3 linked regions of the Arabidopsis thaliana genome follow. The protein of the gene in region 3 purifies or fractionates together with the protein of the main gene of each other region. This does not show direct contact. Each region holds a gene or a part of one and is shown on either strand. Other genes may lie near its edges.

The links. Proteins that work in one complex are often made in the same cells at the same time.
Region 1: the proteins of AT1G09590 (region 3) and AAC2 fractionate together in Arabidopsis thaliana (co-fractionation; one large-scale study listed by BioGRID). This does not show direct contact.
Region 2: the proteins of AT1G09590 (region 3) and AT3G08530 fractionate together in Arabidopsis thaliana (co-fractionation; one large-scale study listed by BioGRID). This does not show direct contact.

Annotation. Positions count from the first base shown.
Region 1 is NC_003076.8:4,332,816-4,338,738, forward strand, and holds AAC2 (ADP/ATP carrier 2), read left to right. Parts: upstream 1-2,456; 5' UTR 2,457-2,752; intron 2,753-2,779; exon of another isoform or gene 2,780-2,860; intron 2,861-3,210; 5' UTR 3,211-3,218; coding exon 3,219-3,704; intron 3,705-3,790; coding exon 3,791-4,165; intron 4,166-4,267; coding exon 4,268-4,564; 3' UTR 4,565-4,879; downstream 4,880-5,923. Other genes in the region: AT5G13500 (Hyp O-arabinosyltransferase-like protein), read left to right, coding at 5,861-5,923. UniProt on the Arabidopsis thaliana protein: ADP:ATP antiporter that mediates import of ADP into the mitochondrial matrix for ATP synthesis, and export of ATP out to fuel the cell.
Region 2 is NC_003074.8:2,592,111-2,598,426, reverse strand, and holds the start of AT3G08530 (Clathrin, heavy chain), read left to right. Parts: upstream 1-2,772; 5' UTR 2,773-3,015; coding exon 3,016-3,060; intron 3,061-3,412; coding exon 3,413-3,617; intron 3,618-3,723; coding exon 3,724-3,812; intron 3,813-3,929; coding exon 3,930-4,008; intron 4,009-4,083; coding exon 4,084-4,211; intron 4,212-4,313; coding exon 4,314-4,412; intron 4,413-4,492; coding exon 4,493-4,601; intron 4,602-4,708; coding exon 4,709-4,788; intron 4,789-4,871; coding exon 4,872-5,099; intron 5,100-5,185; coding exon 5,186-5,251; intron 5,252-5,378; coding exon 5,379-5,495; intron 5,496-5,588; coding exon 5,589-5,786; intron 5,787-5,869; coding exon 5,870-5,986; intron 5,987-6,082; coding exon 6,083-6,142; intron 6,143-6,316. Other genes in the region: KOB1 (elongation defective 1 protein / ELD1 protein), read right to left, coding at 1-187, 288-332, 453-587, 677-785, 944-996, 1,134-1,283, 1,528-1,914.
Region 3 is NC_003070.9:3,103,873-3,108,988, forward strand, and holds AT1G09590 (Translation protein SH3-like family protein), read left to right. Parts: upstream 1-2,494; 5' UTR 2,495-2,676; coding exon 2,677-2,913; intron 2,914-3,476; coding exon 3,477-3,734; 3' UTR 3,735-3,929; downstream 3,930-5,116. Other genes in the region: AT1G09580 (emp24/gp25L/p24 family/GOLD family protein), read left to right, coding at 785-1,003, 1,613-1,825, 1,925-2,001, 2,076-2,220; AT1G09600 (Protein kinase superfamily protein), read left to right, coding at 4,745-5,116.

The DNA of each region.
Region 1 (5,923 bases), on a different chromosome or scaffold from region 3:
GTTTAATGTTAAGATTTATACCAAATGAAAAAAGGTTTACATAGTACAATGAAACCCCAAAAACACACCGAGCTCTTGTGAAGAGAGACTAATGGAACACCATACATACATAAATATGAGCTTTGCCACACCTATAGTGGGGTACTAATACAACCAAAGTAGAATCCAAGGAGAGAGATAGTGGTAACTGATTCCTCCGGCGAGAAGGAGATGAGACGGTTACGCATTGTGCGATCAACGAGAATTTTTGTAGCGGAGAGAGAGGTAGCATCTGCTGAGAAATCTCTGCGGTTGCGCTCTTTCCAAATCATATAAACAGCGGTTTGAAGAAGAAGTTTTAAGATCTTACTTGCATAGTGCGGCGGAGAAGAATGTACACCAAGAACCCACATAGAAGCCAAGGGTAAAGAGAGTGGAGGATTCGGCGAAATCCTTCCAGCGAGCGAAATCCAAAGTGATCTAGAAAACTCACATTTGAAGAACAAGTGATCATGGGAATCAAGGCCAGAATCACACAGAACACAAGAACCATGTACATTCATACCCCACTGTAAAAGCCTATCTCTCGTTGTCAACCTTTCATGGGAAGCCATCCAAAGGATAAATGAAAACCTTGGGACAGATTCCTTAAACCAGACAGCTTTATGCCAAGCCACATGAGGAGAAATTTGTCTAATTTGCATCCAAGTTCCTTTCGAAGAGAATGTTTCAGAAAAAGTACCTGTGGGCTGCTTCCATTGGTACCAATCAGCACCTCTTAAAGGAGAAGGCGGGGCAACCGAGGACAAGCAAATCTGCAACTGCTCAGCTTGGTGAGATCTCGCATTGGGAAAATGCCATTGACCTTCATGTGTAGCTTCCCAAACGCTAGCATTTCTACTGATCCGAAGCTCTCTTGGGCCCAACTGACCAAAAAGCTCAATAAGGGGACCAAGGCTTGTCCAATAATCAAACCAGAAAGAGGCTTTCATACCGTCTCGCATCTGACATTTAATCAATCTCTGGAACACAGATTTTACTTCCAACATCTTCCTAATGTTCCAAGATAGACGTGGTGTGCTATCCATCAACCAATAGTTCCTTCTTCCGAAGATGTTATGGTCCAACCACATAACCCACAATGAGCCCCTTCTAGTAAAGAGGTGCCAAACCTGTTTCAACCTGAAAACAGTAGCAAATTCCTCAAGAGATCGAATACCTAACCCACCCTCCTCTTTTGTCTTACAAATGTCCTTCCAAGCAACTCTTGCACCTCTTGCAGACGAAGTAGTATTTTTCCACAAAAAAGCAGAGCAGAGATTGTCAATTTTCTTATAAAAACCCTTTGGTAGAACAAAGACTTGACTCCAGAAGTTCACTTTCCCATAAACAACAGATACTATTAACCGGATTTTCCCAGCATAAGAGAGAAACTTGGTTGTCCAGGAGTTAAGCTGCTCGGTAATCTTTTGAATAAAAGGTTGAAGTGTGGCAAGAGAAAGCTTAGTCGGGTTCAGCGGCAAGCCAAGATACCGAGAGGGAAAAACACCTATTCGAATCCCAATCAAGTCAGCAATAACAGCAGCTTCAGAATCCCCATAACCTCCAAAAAACAGCTCAGACTTTGAAGGGTTCATGTCCAAACCGGAAAAGGAATGGAAAGTTTGCAGTATACCACTAATACCAAGGAGAGAGTGCTGAGAACCATCTGAGAAAACCAATAAATCATCTGCGAAAGCTAGATGAGTTAGGCGAGGAGTGATACACAAAGGATGAGCAGAAAACTTGCCCTCCAACAGCCCACTGTCCAACATTCTGGATAACACCTCCATTACCAAAATAAAGAGATAAGGAGAGATACAATCACCTTGCCTTAAACATGCCTTTATGTGAAGATGAACATATTGACTGATCTTGCACCTTTCCATTTTCAACATGCCTTTATGTGAAGATGAACAAACATGAGCTGAAAACAAAGAAGGTGAAGCACAACCAAAGTGACATAGCATACTTTAGAGCTAGATAGAAGACGTGGGATTTAGAGCTCTTCAAGAGTCAAGGCAAATACATTTGGACTGGGATGAGGCAGCATCACAAGCCTTCCCAACCATTACTGAATCACTTCGACATTCGAAATTCTGACTCAAAACATATGACACCCTGAAGATGACCATTATAGCGATCCACTAAAATTTTGTACAACTAGCCGACGGAGGAGGAGGCGAGGAACGTAACACTGGTGGACTGATATTGTGTTTTTGTTCTTTTTTTTTTTTTTTTCCAAAACACCATTTTTTTTTGTAAATATACTGTTGGTCAAAACAAATATTAAAGATTAAAGCACTTTGACCAAAACAAAATATAAACTAAGAAATATTTGAAACGTTACCCTGTAGACAGTTGACTACAAAAACCCGTCAATGGCCAATAACATTCCAGATTTCCGGCGCCAAATAGGTGGCATGATCTACGGCCGATAACGCAGTCGTATACTTCCATAATTATATTATTCATTTTAGCAATTACAATCAACGGCTCACAATTTCAATCTCGATGATCTAACGGTCCTACAGTCCCCGAGTGTATAGAATAGTGCGTTACACTTGATTCTTTCTAGTGTGACCCTATTTCTGGAGCCAATAAAAGGCTCGTGTCAAAACTCGCCTCTTCCCCACAAAGAGAATTCTCTCATTTCTTCTTCTTCGCTCAGCTCCGACAACGAAGGGCGAAGAATCTCGCTCCCTCAATTTCGCATTGCCATCGATTTTCTTAGGTAATTCTGGTTACTCTGAGATCTCTATCGCTTTAAATCTCGTTGTTTATCTCTGTTCTTCATTTGATTCTATTGATCTGCTTCACAGTCTTATATATCATCAACAAGGTAAAATGATTCGTTTCGTCTTGATGATCTCATGGTTTCTCTGCGTAATCCTAGATTGAATGTAGTGTAGATCTCGTGTGGAGTGTGAATGTATCGAGATCCTGGATTATTCGGCTCTGTTACTCTTATTTTCCGCCATTAAGTTACACTGTTGTATGGATCTGTTTAACCTAAATTTTCTGCGTCTGAATGTGTTCATGGTTTAGTTTCTGATTGCATCGTTTCTACATGTAGCCTCTCTTATGCTTAATGGTGGATAAGTGTTCTATTCCACTGGAGATGCACAATTGCTTTTACTGCACTTTATAGCATATTCCATTTCTTACACTACGGGTTGTTTAATTTTGTAGAGGTTAAAATGGTTGAACAGACTCAGCACCCCACGATTCTTCAGAAGGTTTCTGGCCAACTCTTGAGCTCGAGTGTTTCTCAGGACATTCGTGGTTATGCTTCGGCTTCCAAAAGGCCTGCTACATACCAGAAACATGCAGCTTACGGAAACTACTCCAATGCTGCATTTCAATATCCTCTTGTGGCTGCATCTCAGATTGCAACTACTACTTCTCCTGTGTTTGTCCAAGCTCCAGGAGAGAAGGGATTTACTAACTTTGCTATTGATTTCATGATGGGTGGTGTTTCTGCTGCTGTGTCAAAGACTGCTGCTGCTCCCATTGAGCGTGTCAAGCTTTTGATTCAAAACCAGGATGAGATGCTTAAGGCTGGAAGGCTTACTGAGCCATACAAGGGTATTCGTGACTGTTTCGGCAGGACAATTAGGGATGAAGGTATTGGTTCGTTGTGGAGAGGAAACACCGCTAATGTTATCCGTTACTTCCCCACTCAGGTTGGTTTAGTTTCACTTCTTTGCTTTTTTAAAATGTCTTAGTTATATATGATGTATTGGTTACTGATCTATCTCTCACTTGCTAGGCCTTGAACTTTGCATTCAAAGATTACTTCAAGAGGCTTTTCAACTTCAAGAAAGACAAGGATGGCTACTGGAAGTGGTTTGCTGGTAACTTGGCATCTGGAGGTGCTGCTGGTGCCTCTTCCCTTCTCTTTGTGTACTCTCTTGACTATGCACGTACCCGTCTTGCCAATGACTCCAAGTCTGCCAAGAAGGGAGGAGGTGAAAGGCAGTTCAATGGTCTTGTTGATGTCTACAAGAAGACCCTCAAGTCAGATGGTATTGCTGGACTTTACCGTGGTTTCAACATCTCGTGTGCTGGTATCATTGTCTACCGTGGTCTCTACTTTGGACTGTACGACTCTGTGAAGCCTGTCCTCCTCACTGGAGACCTGCAGGTTTGTTTGAGCTCTATTCTTATATATCTGTAAGGTGACAGCTTAAGAAATCAGGGATCCTGATTCTAATGTTGTTATTTCTTTCCTTGCTGGATATTTCAGGACAGTTTCTTCGCTAGTTTTGCTCTTGGATGGCTCATCACCAATGGTGCGGGTCTTGCGTCGTACCCGATTGACACGGTTAGAAGAAGAATGATGATGACATCAGGTGAAGCGGTGAAGTACAAGAGCTCATTTGATGCGTTCTCACAGATCGTGAAGAAGGAAGGAGCCAAGTCTCTGTTCAAGGGTGCGGGTGCCAACATCCTGCGTGCCGTTGCAGGTGCTGGTGTGCTTGCTGGCTACGACAAGCTGCAGTTAATCGTCTTCGGCAAGAAGTATGGATCTGGAGGTGCCTAAGTACCACCAAATCCCGCAGTCATTAAGCTTCGGCTTTTGTTTTTTTCTCCATTTTTTTTGCAGTTTCAGATTTCTTTTATAAAAAAGATGTTGATGAAATCATTTCCCCATAAAATTAGAGAGGAGCAAGGGGAAATATTATCTGTTCGACGATAAGGTTTTTGTTATATGGAATAAATTTTGTATGGGAGGGAGATTTGACTCCTTCGAACCAGGCTATGTTTTATATGGTGAGGATGTCCCTTTTTATTTTGTTGCTACCGTTGTTGCGGAAGGAAACGTCACTATGTTATTGAAGATTTTACTAACGCGTATTGATGGAAATGTAAGGCGTGGAAAGGTACCACCGTCAAGAAGAGTTCAATGAACCAAGACAAATATCTCTTTAACGTAAAAATGACAGCTACGATCAGATCCTGGCGAGTGGCACGTTTCCACCAAAACACACGAAATAATATGAAGACATATAGAAATAGATAGTTCATATAATCAAATCAGATTGAACGTCGCAAACCAAATCTCAAGTTGTATTATTACCCAACTTACCAAAAAAAAAAGCAGTATTATTGCCCATACTAATTTCTAAAGCATGTTAATTATGTGTGCTAACTTCGATTCACGTATTAGGTTTTTCTTCTTTAATATTCCATGTTTTTTTCTTAAACGTGGTATGCCACAACACTTGCACTTCCTATATTTTTTTCCTGAAATTATATTCAAAGCCATCAGGAGAATTCTTTGGTTTTGATTGGCACGATCCAAAGACACACATTTTGTCAAATCATTTTCGACGACTGTTATTAATAATTAATTCGTTAATGACGCACCGTTAGTCAACTCCGCTTCGTATTAATTACTCCTCCGATCTCTTTCTTATTCTTCTCCGGCGACACTTCCCTTGCTTCTCCCTCTTAGGACTCTCTCTACGAATCTGTAAGCTTCAAATTCTTACGCCACACTCCGAGATTCGCTTCTGATTATTGTACGTTTCTGCTTCTTCCTTCAGATCTTTTACTTTTCTGGAATTCCACACTCTAATTGATCTATTCATTGTGCCCAAAATTATGCATCTCTGGAGCTTTACCCGATTTTAATCGTTGAATTCTCACTAAGTCGAGACCTTTTTGATGGCTGTGTTCTCAATTTGTCAACTTGCATCATTTTTGTTTACAGGTATGAATTTTTGAGCTCCAAGGATCCACTGCCATGTATTTATGCTGCTAAAGCTTGAAGGCAGTAGTGGAATCACCATTAAGTTCTTTGCTTTGTAATTTAGCTTGATTTGAGAATAAACAAATGGGAAAAGCATCAGGCTTGCTTCTGTTTCTCTTGGGTTTTGGGTTCTTTGTTGTCACATAT
Region 2 (6,316 bases), on a different chromosome or scaffold from region 3:
TGGGAGTTTTCATGTAATTATGCCATCTGTGTGCTCCATTTGGACGAAGGTGATCTTGAACCCGAGCAACTGATTTGCCGTTACCATAAGTCAAAAAGTAATTTGGATTATTTCGTGTTGCTTCTTTGTACATTCCAAAATATGTATCTTTTGGAAGATGATCATAATTCTTCTTGAACATTGACACCTGCTTGCACCACACATATCTCAGAAGTAATACTAACATAACAAACAAATATTAATAAACCTACTCTCTTACGTAAAGACAGTAATAAACTGAATTATACCTCTGTAAAAGGATCCTTGATATCATCTCTTTCTACGCTGCTTTCCTAAACAACAAAATCCAAAAGCATTATTCATAGCAAAGGCCAGATCATAAAAGAAACTTTAGACTCACAAAACTAGCTGAAAATAAGCAATGCAAGAAGTGTGAATGAGATATCACTCACGTAATTTGGAAATATAACCATATCCACATTTGGAGGAACATCAAGCAGCAACCGTCTTAGTGAGTACTCACGAGCACCTGCTGGGTATATCAGCTCATCAGTGTCAAGATGAAGTATCCAATCCATGCCCGCATCCTGATATTTAGTAAGAACAAGAAAAATGAGAATGTAACATGAGACATGAGTCAAAACTGAACCAAATAAGGTCTAAAAGAAATACTTACCCTAGCCATGACAATAGCCATTTCCATGTTGAGAGATTGTTTGACAAATAACTCATAATTGCAGGGCTTATAAAAGAAAGACGAAAGCCAGGTCTCATTCCAAATCCGGCTGATGAAACAAAACAAAAAAGAATGACAGTAAAATGATCAGTAGTAGAAAATACAACAAAACAATGCTACAATTTCAGAATATACAACAAAACATGTGTTTAGTGCCTTGAAGAGCTATAGCTTTGTCGCAAATATGCAATGGGATAACTAACTAACCTCTTCGCTTGCTTCTCCTCAAGCTCTTTCGTCCTGTATATTACTTTAACACCCTGCAAGAGACATGGGACTACATTTATCGAAAACTGCATACCTTAAATACAAATTTATACCTACAGGACTAAAGAGCTAGAGATATACAGCCAAAACAAAATAAACAGTGGACGCGAAGAGAGGTAGTTCAACTCACAGGAATAGACTCGAGCACTTTAGAAATACTCGGAGTAGCAGCTTTCCCTTCAACGAAAAGGAAGAATGTTGAGACGCCTAGAACCTTATGGTAGAACATCCATGGTAGAATCTGATCCAATCCAGCTGATGTGCTAGTCGTGATACATATCTGTAAACAGTAACAATGTCAAGAATCATATACAACATGGAGCACAAAAAGTGAGGTGACTTTACAAAGACAGATCTGATCAAAAAATGAACTTTGGTATTTCTCAAATCTCTATAATCCAATAAAAAAAGAACAACTTGATATTTCAGATTAGACATTGTAGTAAGATTTAAGAAAAAAAAAAGGAATTTGGAAGTGTAGATCGATCCAAAGACTTGAAATCAGGGGAATTGAAAGTAGTAACCTTAGGCTTTAAGCTAGTATCAACACCAAACTTCCAATCAGCATAGTAAGGAAAAGAAGGAGAAGAGCTGCGAGCTAGATTTGAGCAGTCGGAGGAGGATTGGTGAGACTTTGGGGAGACAGATGAAACAGTCTCCATGCCGGGAAAGACCTCGTGATTGAGATCGGAGCCGCCAGGAACCGACGTAGAGGAACGAACAGAAGCAGAGGCAGGATCGGCGAGACCACCGCCTCGCCATTGGAGGATAAAGGCGAGACAAGCAAGGGAAACTGGAAGTAGAGTAAGGAGAAGGAGGAGCCTAGAGACGAATGAATGGTTTTGGGAAGAAGATGAAGATGAGGAAGAAGCAGATATTAGTGGAGCTCTGTGATGGTGAGTCGATTTCATGGTTAGCTCCACCACTTTGAAAAACAAAAAAAAGTTTCGGAGGAAGAAGACGAAGAAGAAGAAGAAAGACGCGATTCTGAGATCTTTCTTTTTATTTTATTTTCGTGTTTTGGTCGTCTGAGATCTCATCGGTAAAATTAAACTTTACTAACTAAATCTAATTGATTATCAATTCATCTCATTTTATTATGTATAAAAATTGGGAGATTTTCTTCCATTTTTTTTCTTAATCTTTCTCAACTGGATTTGAATTGATAGATTGGAAACATGTACCAACACAAAGAACAGAAGCAATTACACAGGGAGAAACAAATCTCCACACACTAAGCCACTATAAGCTAATAACAACAATAACCTATACAAAACAACAGAGCCATATAACAAAAAAAAAACCAATTCAACCAGGGGAAATGACTCTTTCATCACAGAAAACTGAATGGAACCAAGACGGATGACTTGATGCAACATACAATTGCAACCTGCAATCATCAGTGATACTCTATGACATAATATTCCTTCTTCTTTTGGATCAGATTAATTAAGTTTTGTTTCTAATTATTAAGTCATGACACTTCTTCCATTCTTAATTATTAAGTTTTTTTTTTCTTGTATCAAATCTTTAATTATTAAGTTTTTTAAAAAAAATTATTAAAAGTCATGACACTTCTTCCATTCTTAATTATTAAGTTTTTTTCTTGGATCAAATCTTAATTATTAAGTCATTTATTGTTGTTTCACCTAAGGTACCTTCATTTAAAAGCACCAATTAAAATATTTCACGTGTCGTCTCATTAGAAATTCGGATGCTTAGAGCCCAGTAAGGACCGATATGGGCCGGACCTGGTTATAAATGTAAGACTCTAATTGGATCGCTGTTCGTCATTACTTACCCATATATATTTGTTATTCTTCTTTTCTCAATTTTCTTTCTCTTTCCATCACCTTTCTCGTTCACTTGCTTCAGATCTGGCAGCGATTTCATTTCTTCTCCAGTCTTTCTCTCGTCTCGGTTCTATCTCCTGGCCATTGGCGGTCAGGACTTCTCAGCCGTATATTTGATTCCGTCCCCGGATTTACTCTTGCTGTGATCTGAGGTCAAACATGGCGGCTGCCAACGCCCCCATCACGATGAAGGAGGTCCTGACGGTGAGTTCTCCTTACTCTTCACTCTTATCTTTGAATATTTAGATGTGTATCTCCTGGAATCGACCGTGATTTTCTACGATTAAGCTCTGTTCAGTCTCTTGATTGATTGATTCCAGTTTCCTACTGATCTGAATTCTGCTCGATCGTTGTGTTACTCTCTAGTTTTTCCGGATCGCTTGTTTGGGAATGCATGTTTCTGATCAGATTTCTCTAACTATGCTCAGATCTGTGTTTCGTTAATATATCAATGCCGAATTTCAAGTTGTTGTCTGTAGCAATGTGCTTATGTACTCGGATCTCATAACTAAATAAATGAACTATTTGACGTAACGCTTCATCTTGATTTTTCCAGCTTCCGAGCATCGGGATCAATCAGCAATTCATCACGTTTACAAATGTTACTATGGAGTCTGACAAGTATATCTGTGTACGAGAGACGTCACCGCAAAACAGTGTTGTAATTATAGATATGAATATGCCGATGCAGCCTCTTAGGAGGCCTATTACTGCAGACTCTGCTCTTATGAACCCAAACTCGAAGATCCTTGCCTTGAAAGGTACTTGATTTTTTCCTTTGATCTAAAACCCATAACGGTTTCCTCGAATTCGTAGTTCATAATCCACTTATCTTGATGTTCACTTTTTACTTCAATATTTATGTAGCTCAAGTTCCAGGAACTACTCAGGATCATCTACAGATATTTAACATTGAAGCCAAAGCAAAGTTGAAATCACATCAGATGCCTGAGCAGGTGAGTGTTGATGCAAATATATTTGAACTCCATTATCGTTCCTGCTATACACTTCGTATAACTCTGAATTTTTCAGTCGGGTTTTTTTTTGGATAATAATGTTTCATGTTTTTACAGGTTGTCTTTTGGAAGTGGATTACACCAAAGATGTTGGGGCTGGTCACACAGAATTCCGTCTATCATTGGTCAATTGAAGGTTGTATATTTCAGCCTACTGTCATTTTCTTCATATCTTGTGTTTTCGTTTCTAATTTTCCTTCGGGTTTTATAGGTGATTCTGAGCCAGTTAAGATGTTTGATAGAACAGCCAATTTGGCCAACAATCAAATTATAAACTATAAGTGCTCTCCTAATGAGAAGTGGTTGGTTTTAATTGGAATTGCTCCTGGCTCTCCTGAGGTAAGTTTACTGCGCCACATATTAGGTCAAAAAAAGACATCAAAACTGCTTTCATGTTGTAGATTCTTGACTGATCTTGTCATTATTATCTGTTTTCTGTAGAGACAACAATTGGTAAAAGGAAATATGCAGCTTTTCTCTGTGGATCAACAGCGGAGTCAGGCCCTTGAGGCACATGCTGCATCGTTTGCGCAGTTTAAGGTAACGTCTTTGTTCTTTGGTGAGTTCATCTATGGTCTAATCTTGAACTGTAGTTTGACTTGCAACACTATTAATATTAGGTTCCTGGGAATGAGAATCCTTCTATTCTTATATCATTTGCAAGCAAGAGCTTTAATGCTGGGCAGATAACATCAAAGTTGCATGTCATTGAGCTTGGTGCCCAACCTGGTTAGCTCCCCGACGCAAAACTATATCTTCACTGTTATTTAATATAATTGGTTACGTTTTCTAGGTTGTATTCATCTGATCTTTAAAGGTTGGCGATTTTTTTGCAGGAAAACCATCATTTACAAAAAAACAAGCAGATCTCTTTTTTCCCCCTGATTTTGCTGATGATTTTCCTGTTGCCATGCAGGTTTGCTATTGCATTAGAATTTCAGTTATATGTGTAAGTAGTTAGTGACAATTTCTGGCACTAATTTCTCATTTTCCTGACAGGTCTCTCACAAATTTAACTTGATATATGTTATCACCAAACTTGGCCTGTTGTTTGTGTACGATCTAGAGACTGCTTCTGCTATCTACAGAAATCGGATTAGTCCAGACCCAATTTTCTTGACTTCTGAAGCTTCCTCAGTTGGGGGTTTCTATGCCATTAATAGGCGAGGACAAGTTCTTTTGGCTACAGTAAACGAGGCTACCATTATACCTTTTATTAGTGGCCAAGTATGCTAATCTTTTATGCTATTTTCCCGTTATAACCTACCCTTTTCATCATGTCATGCTAAGAAATCTATGCTTTTGTATCACAGTTGAACAATTTGGAGCTTGCTGTCAATCTTGCTAAAAGAGGAAACCTCCCAGGTGCAGAAAATCTGGTATGCGATGTTTATCATGGATCTGTTGTCTCGGTGAAGTAATTATATAGTTGTTAAATGGCAGCTTGAAGAAAAAAAATGTCATTTGGTATTGTGAAGTTTCTCATATTCTGCTCGGATGTTGTAGGTTGTCCAGCGGTTCCAGGAGTTGTTCGCTCAAACAAAGTACAAGGAGGCTGCTGAGCTTGCTGCTGAATCTCCTCAAGGAATTCTAAGGACACCTGATACAGTGGCCAAATTCCAGGTGTCTATTTCATATCCAAGCAACTATGTGTAAACATGTTTATTTATGATGAAATGTTGGTAACACCAATTTTTCAACTCTATAATTTTGCAGAGTGTTCCTGTACAAGCTGGACAAACTCCTCCATTGTTACAGTATTTTGGGACTCTTTTGACTAGAGGGAAACTCAATTCATATGAGTCACTGGAACTATCTCGGCTGGTTGTGAACCAAAACAAGAAGAACCTCCTGGAAAACTGGTTGGCAGAGGATAAACTAGAATGCAGTGAAGAACTTGGAGACCTTGTGAAGGTAATCTTGAAATGGACGATTTTATTCAAAATGTGTGATATGTCTCCTATGGTGTGTTGTGACGATAAACCTTTCTGTTCCAGACTGTGGATAATGATCTCGCTCTGAAAATATACATCAAAGCTCGGGCGACTCCAAAAGTTGTAGCAGCTTTTGCAGAAAGAAGGGAGTTTGACAAAATACTGATTTACTCAAAGCAGGTAAGCAATAAGATCTATAGTATAACCTCTTCTATTATTTTTACCCTAAAGTTCTGTTGTCTCATGAATTACCATTGTTTCATATTGTGACTTCAGGTTGGGTACACACCTGATTACCTGTTTCTTCTGCAAACCATACTCCGTACAGATCCTCAGGTTAGTGTGGTGCACTCTTGATACTTGCAACATACTAAACTATGAAAGGACTTTACTGAATATATGTGGCGTAAGCACTGGAAGAGTTATGAATCAACTAACTTGTTGAATAATTTGACCTGATGTTATATAGAATGAAGAATCTTTTTCCCACCGTATTAATATCAATAGTCT
Region 3 (5,116 bases):
AAAACCCAATTTCATAGGAAATAAAAACTAGTACATTTTAGGACCCCAGCTAAATATGATGATAATTAATGTAAAAATACGACTTGGGAATTCATATGTTTTTAATGCTCGACTTTTGAGCTGACTTTGCAATAGGCTTACCACTTCCGTTAAAGGATAAGTTTATGAAATTATTAAAACATAACCAAACAATGACATGACGAGTTGTATCTAAGAAGAGATGCAATTAAAAAAACACTTAATCTAAACTAATACTACTTAGTTAGCCTGGCCATACTATTATTAAAGATGTTTTAATCTTATGCAATAGTTTTTTTTTTTGTCAAACAATCTTATGTAATAGTTTAAGTTTGTCAATTTGTCTTATTAAAACAGGAGGAACTGCACAACTCTACCAAAAAAAAAAAAAGTCTCAAAGACTGTGCCAAATCTTGCCTTTATGACTCCAAAGTGCACGTTTATTCAGATAAAGTATTCAAAAAACAACCAAATGGAAATGAGATTAGAGAGCGAGGTTCAGAGATGATGGGCGACTAGTTGCAAATACAAAGTGTTGTTTAAATGAAAAGTGATTAATTATTTATATAGATCTTTATTGGACCCAATGCTATCACCTCATCTCAATTATCAAGCCCATGGGTTGGTCTCATCAAAGCCCAATCAAAGCTTCCCAAACAAAAAGGAATTAAGATGAACAAACAAAAAAAAACACTTCGGAGCAAAAGATCTGGCCACCACAACACAACGATCGACGAATACAATAGGAAAATTTGAAATCTCGTCGATGAAGATGACTGCTAAGATGCGCCGTGAATTCCCGACGGCGTTCCTTCTCTTGTTTCTGGTTCCGGTGATGATTCCGGTCGGTGAGGCTGTATGGCTAGATGTGCCTCCCACCGGAACAAAGTGTGTATCTGAAGAAATCCAGAGCAATGTCGTCGTTTTGGCTGATTACCTCATCATCTCCGAGGATCACGAGGTCATGCCCACTATATCCGTCAAGGTAAGTGTCTTCGATTTTCTGTTCCTATCATCTTGCTTGTTCAGTGATTTGAATCTGCATTTTGTGTTACTCGATCCATAATTTCAACTGATTCATGAGTCACGTTTAGGAATTAGAAAGGCATGTATTAATTCTCGATCCAAGTTTCCTTATTTGGAAAATTATGATCATGCATGTCTTTCTTTGATTGTTTGTTATGATGATTTTCGGATTTGTATAAATGCTCAGATGCTTGTGTATAGCTTAATCCCTGTGAATACCCTTTTTTTTTTGCCGTAATATCAGTAATTAGCTGTGAGATTGAGATAAGAAAAATTGAAACTTTATGTGGTCTTTTAATGAAGTCTGTGTTTTTGATGTGTATGTTTGGGAACAATGATAATTATTACGAACAAGGGAGTTTCTTTTATTGAGCAAGTATCATTTGGTATTTAGTAATCATTGCTATGTGCTAGTTCCAGATAGTTTGATGGATTGTTTAAGATAGTGTCCTTTGGATTGAGAGCAGTCTTTGAAGTCGACTTGAAAAAAGGAATACAATGTTTCTGAATGGTAACCTCTGTTCCTTTTTATTCTTGGCTCTGAGTTTTGAGAATCATTATGGTGCAGGTGACATCCCCATATGGCAACAATCTGCACAATATGGAAAACGTAACGCATGGCCAATTTGCATTTACAACCCAAGAATCAGGGAACTACTTGGCGTGCTTTTGGGCAGATGAAAAGAGTCACGGAAACAAAAATGTTAGCATCAACATTGACTGGAGAACTGGAATCGCTGCTAAGGATTGGGCCTCTATTGCTAAGAAAGAGAAGATCGAGGTTAGCTTTCAAGAGATTTTACAGTTCAGAGAGTGGTATTGCTTATAATTTTGCTTCAAAATATTTCTAAAATTTGTTACTCTATGACAATTGCTTAAGGGTGTGGAGCTGGAGATCAGGAAACTCGAAGGCGCAGTCGAAGCCATCCATGAAAATATACTCTACCTAAGAAACAGGTAAAGTCATCTTCAGCTGCATGAACTGCTCTTGCCTTCTTTGCTGACTCTCATTATCAAAATGGTAATTGCAGAGAAGCAGACATGAGGACAATGAGTGAGAAAACGAACTCGCGGGTGGCTTGGTACAGTATAATGTCACTAGGTGTTTGCATTGCTGTCTCTGGTTTCCAGGTACTCTACTTGAAGCAGTACTTTGAGAAGAAGAAGCTTATATAGAGATTCCCTGATATTCAGGTCCTTTAATGAGAGTTTCTTCTTAAAGAATAATATTCAATTCATCTCCTTTCTTTCCTCTTTACACGCCTCCTTTTTACTGACGCTGTAAAATTTTTGTTCATGGATTGTTTATGTAGCTTCTCTCTGATAAGAAGTCATTATTTCTGATTCTGAAATAATAATATTAACTTCTTGTCATCTCCAAAGTCCAAACGAAAGAGATTCTAGAACCATTGATATTGGGTTGTAACTGATACTTTATGTTAGTTTGGGGCTATAACACGTAAGTTTGACAGTACAAGGGTTAAGATTACAAGAAAAAACTAATCAAATGGGTATTACATACAAATCAGCCCAAATTTCTGACCCAACAGGCCCGTTAAGAGCAAACCCTAATTTCAAAGAGAATATATATAAACCCTAATCACATTTCGCAACCACCAAAGCGGAGGAAAAATGCCGGCTGGACATGGAGTTCGAGCGAGAACGAGGGATCTGTTCGCGAGGCCTTTCAGGAAGAAGGGTTACATTCCTCTATCGACTTACCTGAGGACCTTCAAGGTCGGCGATTACGTCGATGTGAAGGTGAATGGTGCGATCCACAAGGGTATGCCTCACAAGTTCTACCATGGTCGTACTGGTCGTATCTGGAACGTCACCAAGCGCGCCGTCGGTGTTGAAGTCAACAAACAGGTCTGATGATCTCTCACTTCCCTTAAACTTTTGTGTCCTTGAATTAGGATTTGAGCTTGTTGTGCTATTTGGATTGTTGATCTGTTGATTTGATGTTGAAATATGTGATTGAGTATTAGGTTTGTAGAATGTAAACCTTCTACTGTGCTCCAATTTAGCTCAGATTGTTAGTTTTGGCTCAAAGATCTTATCTTCTATTATGCAGTAGTGTGGTTCTTGATCCTGTTTCAGATTTGAAGTTTGATTGCTTAGGTCTCGTTTAGTCTTTAGCCTTAGCATGCATTGCGTTGTATCAATTTGGCCCTTTTTGCATCACAGTTCTAGCTAAGCATCTAGTTTTACTTCTCCATTGAACTGCTAGTATGTTTGGTTTCATGACTATCGCATTGCTCTAGTTTTGCTTTAAATGACCACCAACATTCGTATATTAATCTTGTTTCTATAAGTGTCTTAGAGATGTTATTGTGTAATGCTGATTAGCCTATGACCAGAACACAAACATTTTTGCTAGTACTACTTATATTGGGTATTATGACTGACATATGATGGTGGGGTTGTTTCAGATTGGGAACAGGATCATAAGGAAGAGGATTCATGTTCGTGTGGAGCATGTGCAGCAGTCAAGATGTGCCGAGGAGTTCAAGCTGAGGAAGAAGAAAAACGATGAGCTCAAGGCTGCAGCCAAAGCCAATGGTGAGACCATCAGCACCAAGAGACAGCCTAAAGGACCCAAACCAGGATTCATGGTCGAAGGAATGACCTTGGAGACTGTCACTCCAATCCCCTACGATGTCGTCAACGATCTCAAAGGAGGCTATTAGTTCTATCTTCTTGTGCTTTAGAACTCTTTTTCATTTGTTTTGTAGCAGACTTAAAACTAAGAATTATGATTTACTATATAACAGGAGTTTGCAATCCAGATTTTGTAAGGATGGTTTATTTTTATTATTGGTATTTTTGATCTTCCAACTATTGTTCACTTTTGTCAACGGTGTCTTACGAATTTTAAATATGTCTGAAATTGATTTAATTATGAGCCTCATTTTAAGATACGTTTGACTTGGAGCCCATGGAACTCCAGCACGATGCCACGTAGCGTCTGAGCAACAGAACCTAATTTTGAACACTGAACTCAAAAGAGAAGAAGAAAAGAGTCAAGTCTTGGGTGTCCATTAATGGGAGATCTCTGTTATGTTCAACACTTGCTCGAGAGACAGATAGAAACCAGGCTGCTTCGTCATTGTTTCTCCTCTGAAGCATTTTCGTTATTTCTGTTTGCTGTATTAAAATTTCCTAAAATAGAAAGACTATGAAACCTCATTTCCCTAAAATCTCTCATATTCTTGATAGGCTCTTCGTAATTTCAGGAATCACTCACAATTCCAAATCTCTCTCTCTCTCTCTCTCTCTCTCTCCATTAATCTCAGCATATCTCTTTCTCTCTAACCCACAAGTCTTCCTTTGATTCTTTGATTTCAATTCGTTTTCTTCATACAAAAACATTGAGACACATATTTAATCCATATTTCGAGATCAGTCTTGCTGACCTCAAATTTTCCAGTTTCGTTACATCTACAGAAAAAGCTCCTCTCTTTTTTTTTTGTCTCCCATTTGATTTTAAGATTAGCGTCTAATCCAACAAGTTCCAACAAGGTCTAAAGATCAAAAGCTCAAATCTTTGTTCTTTGTTGGTGGTGTGGGTGGGAAGATTTCATTTTCAGTGGAGAAGAAGAAAAAAGGAAAGATTAGGAAGCTAATCAAAACATACAGTTTCCTGATTCCGGTCAGGAAACTGTGGAGCATTGACGGAATCACGAAGCCGTGGAGAATTATGGGCTGCAATTGCACCAAAGGAACACGGCCTGATAATGATAACGTCGATAACAGCAACAGCATTGTCAGCAATGTCAATGTCAAGGAGAGAAGAAGCAAGCCTAAGAAAACCCCCAAGAAGAAGAAAAAATCAAAATCTGCTTCTTCGAGCAAAGACAACAATGTAGGATTCGAGGAACGAAGCAACGACAATAAAGAAGCCTCCTTGACGTTGTTGATACCCATTGATGCCAAGAAGGATGATGAGTCCGAGAAGAAGGTGAATCTCGAGAGAAAGTCTTCTAGATTGGTGTTTCAGAGACGGCCCACCGGTATTGAGGTTGGTGCCAACAACATAGGGACATTGCAGCAACCTAAGATGACTAGAATA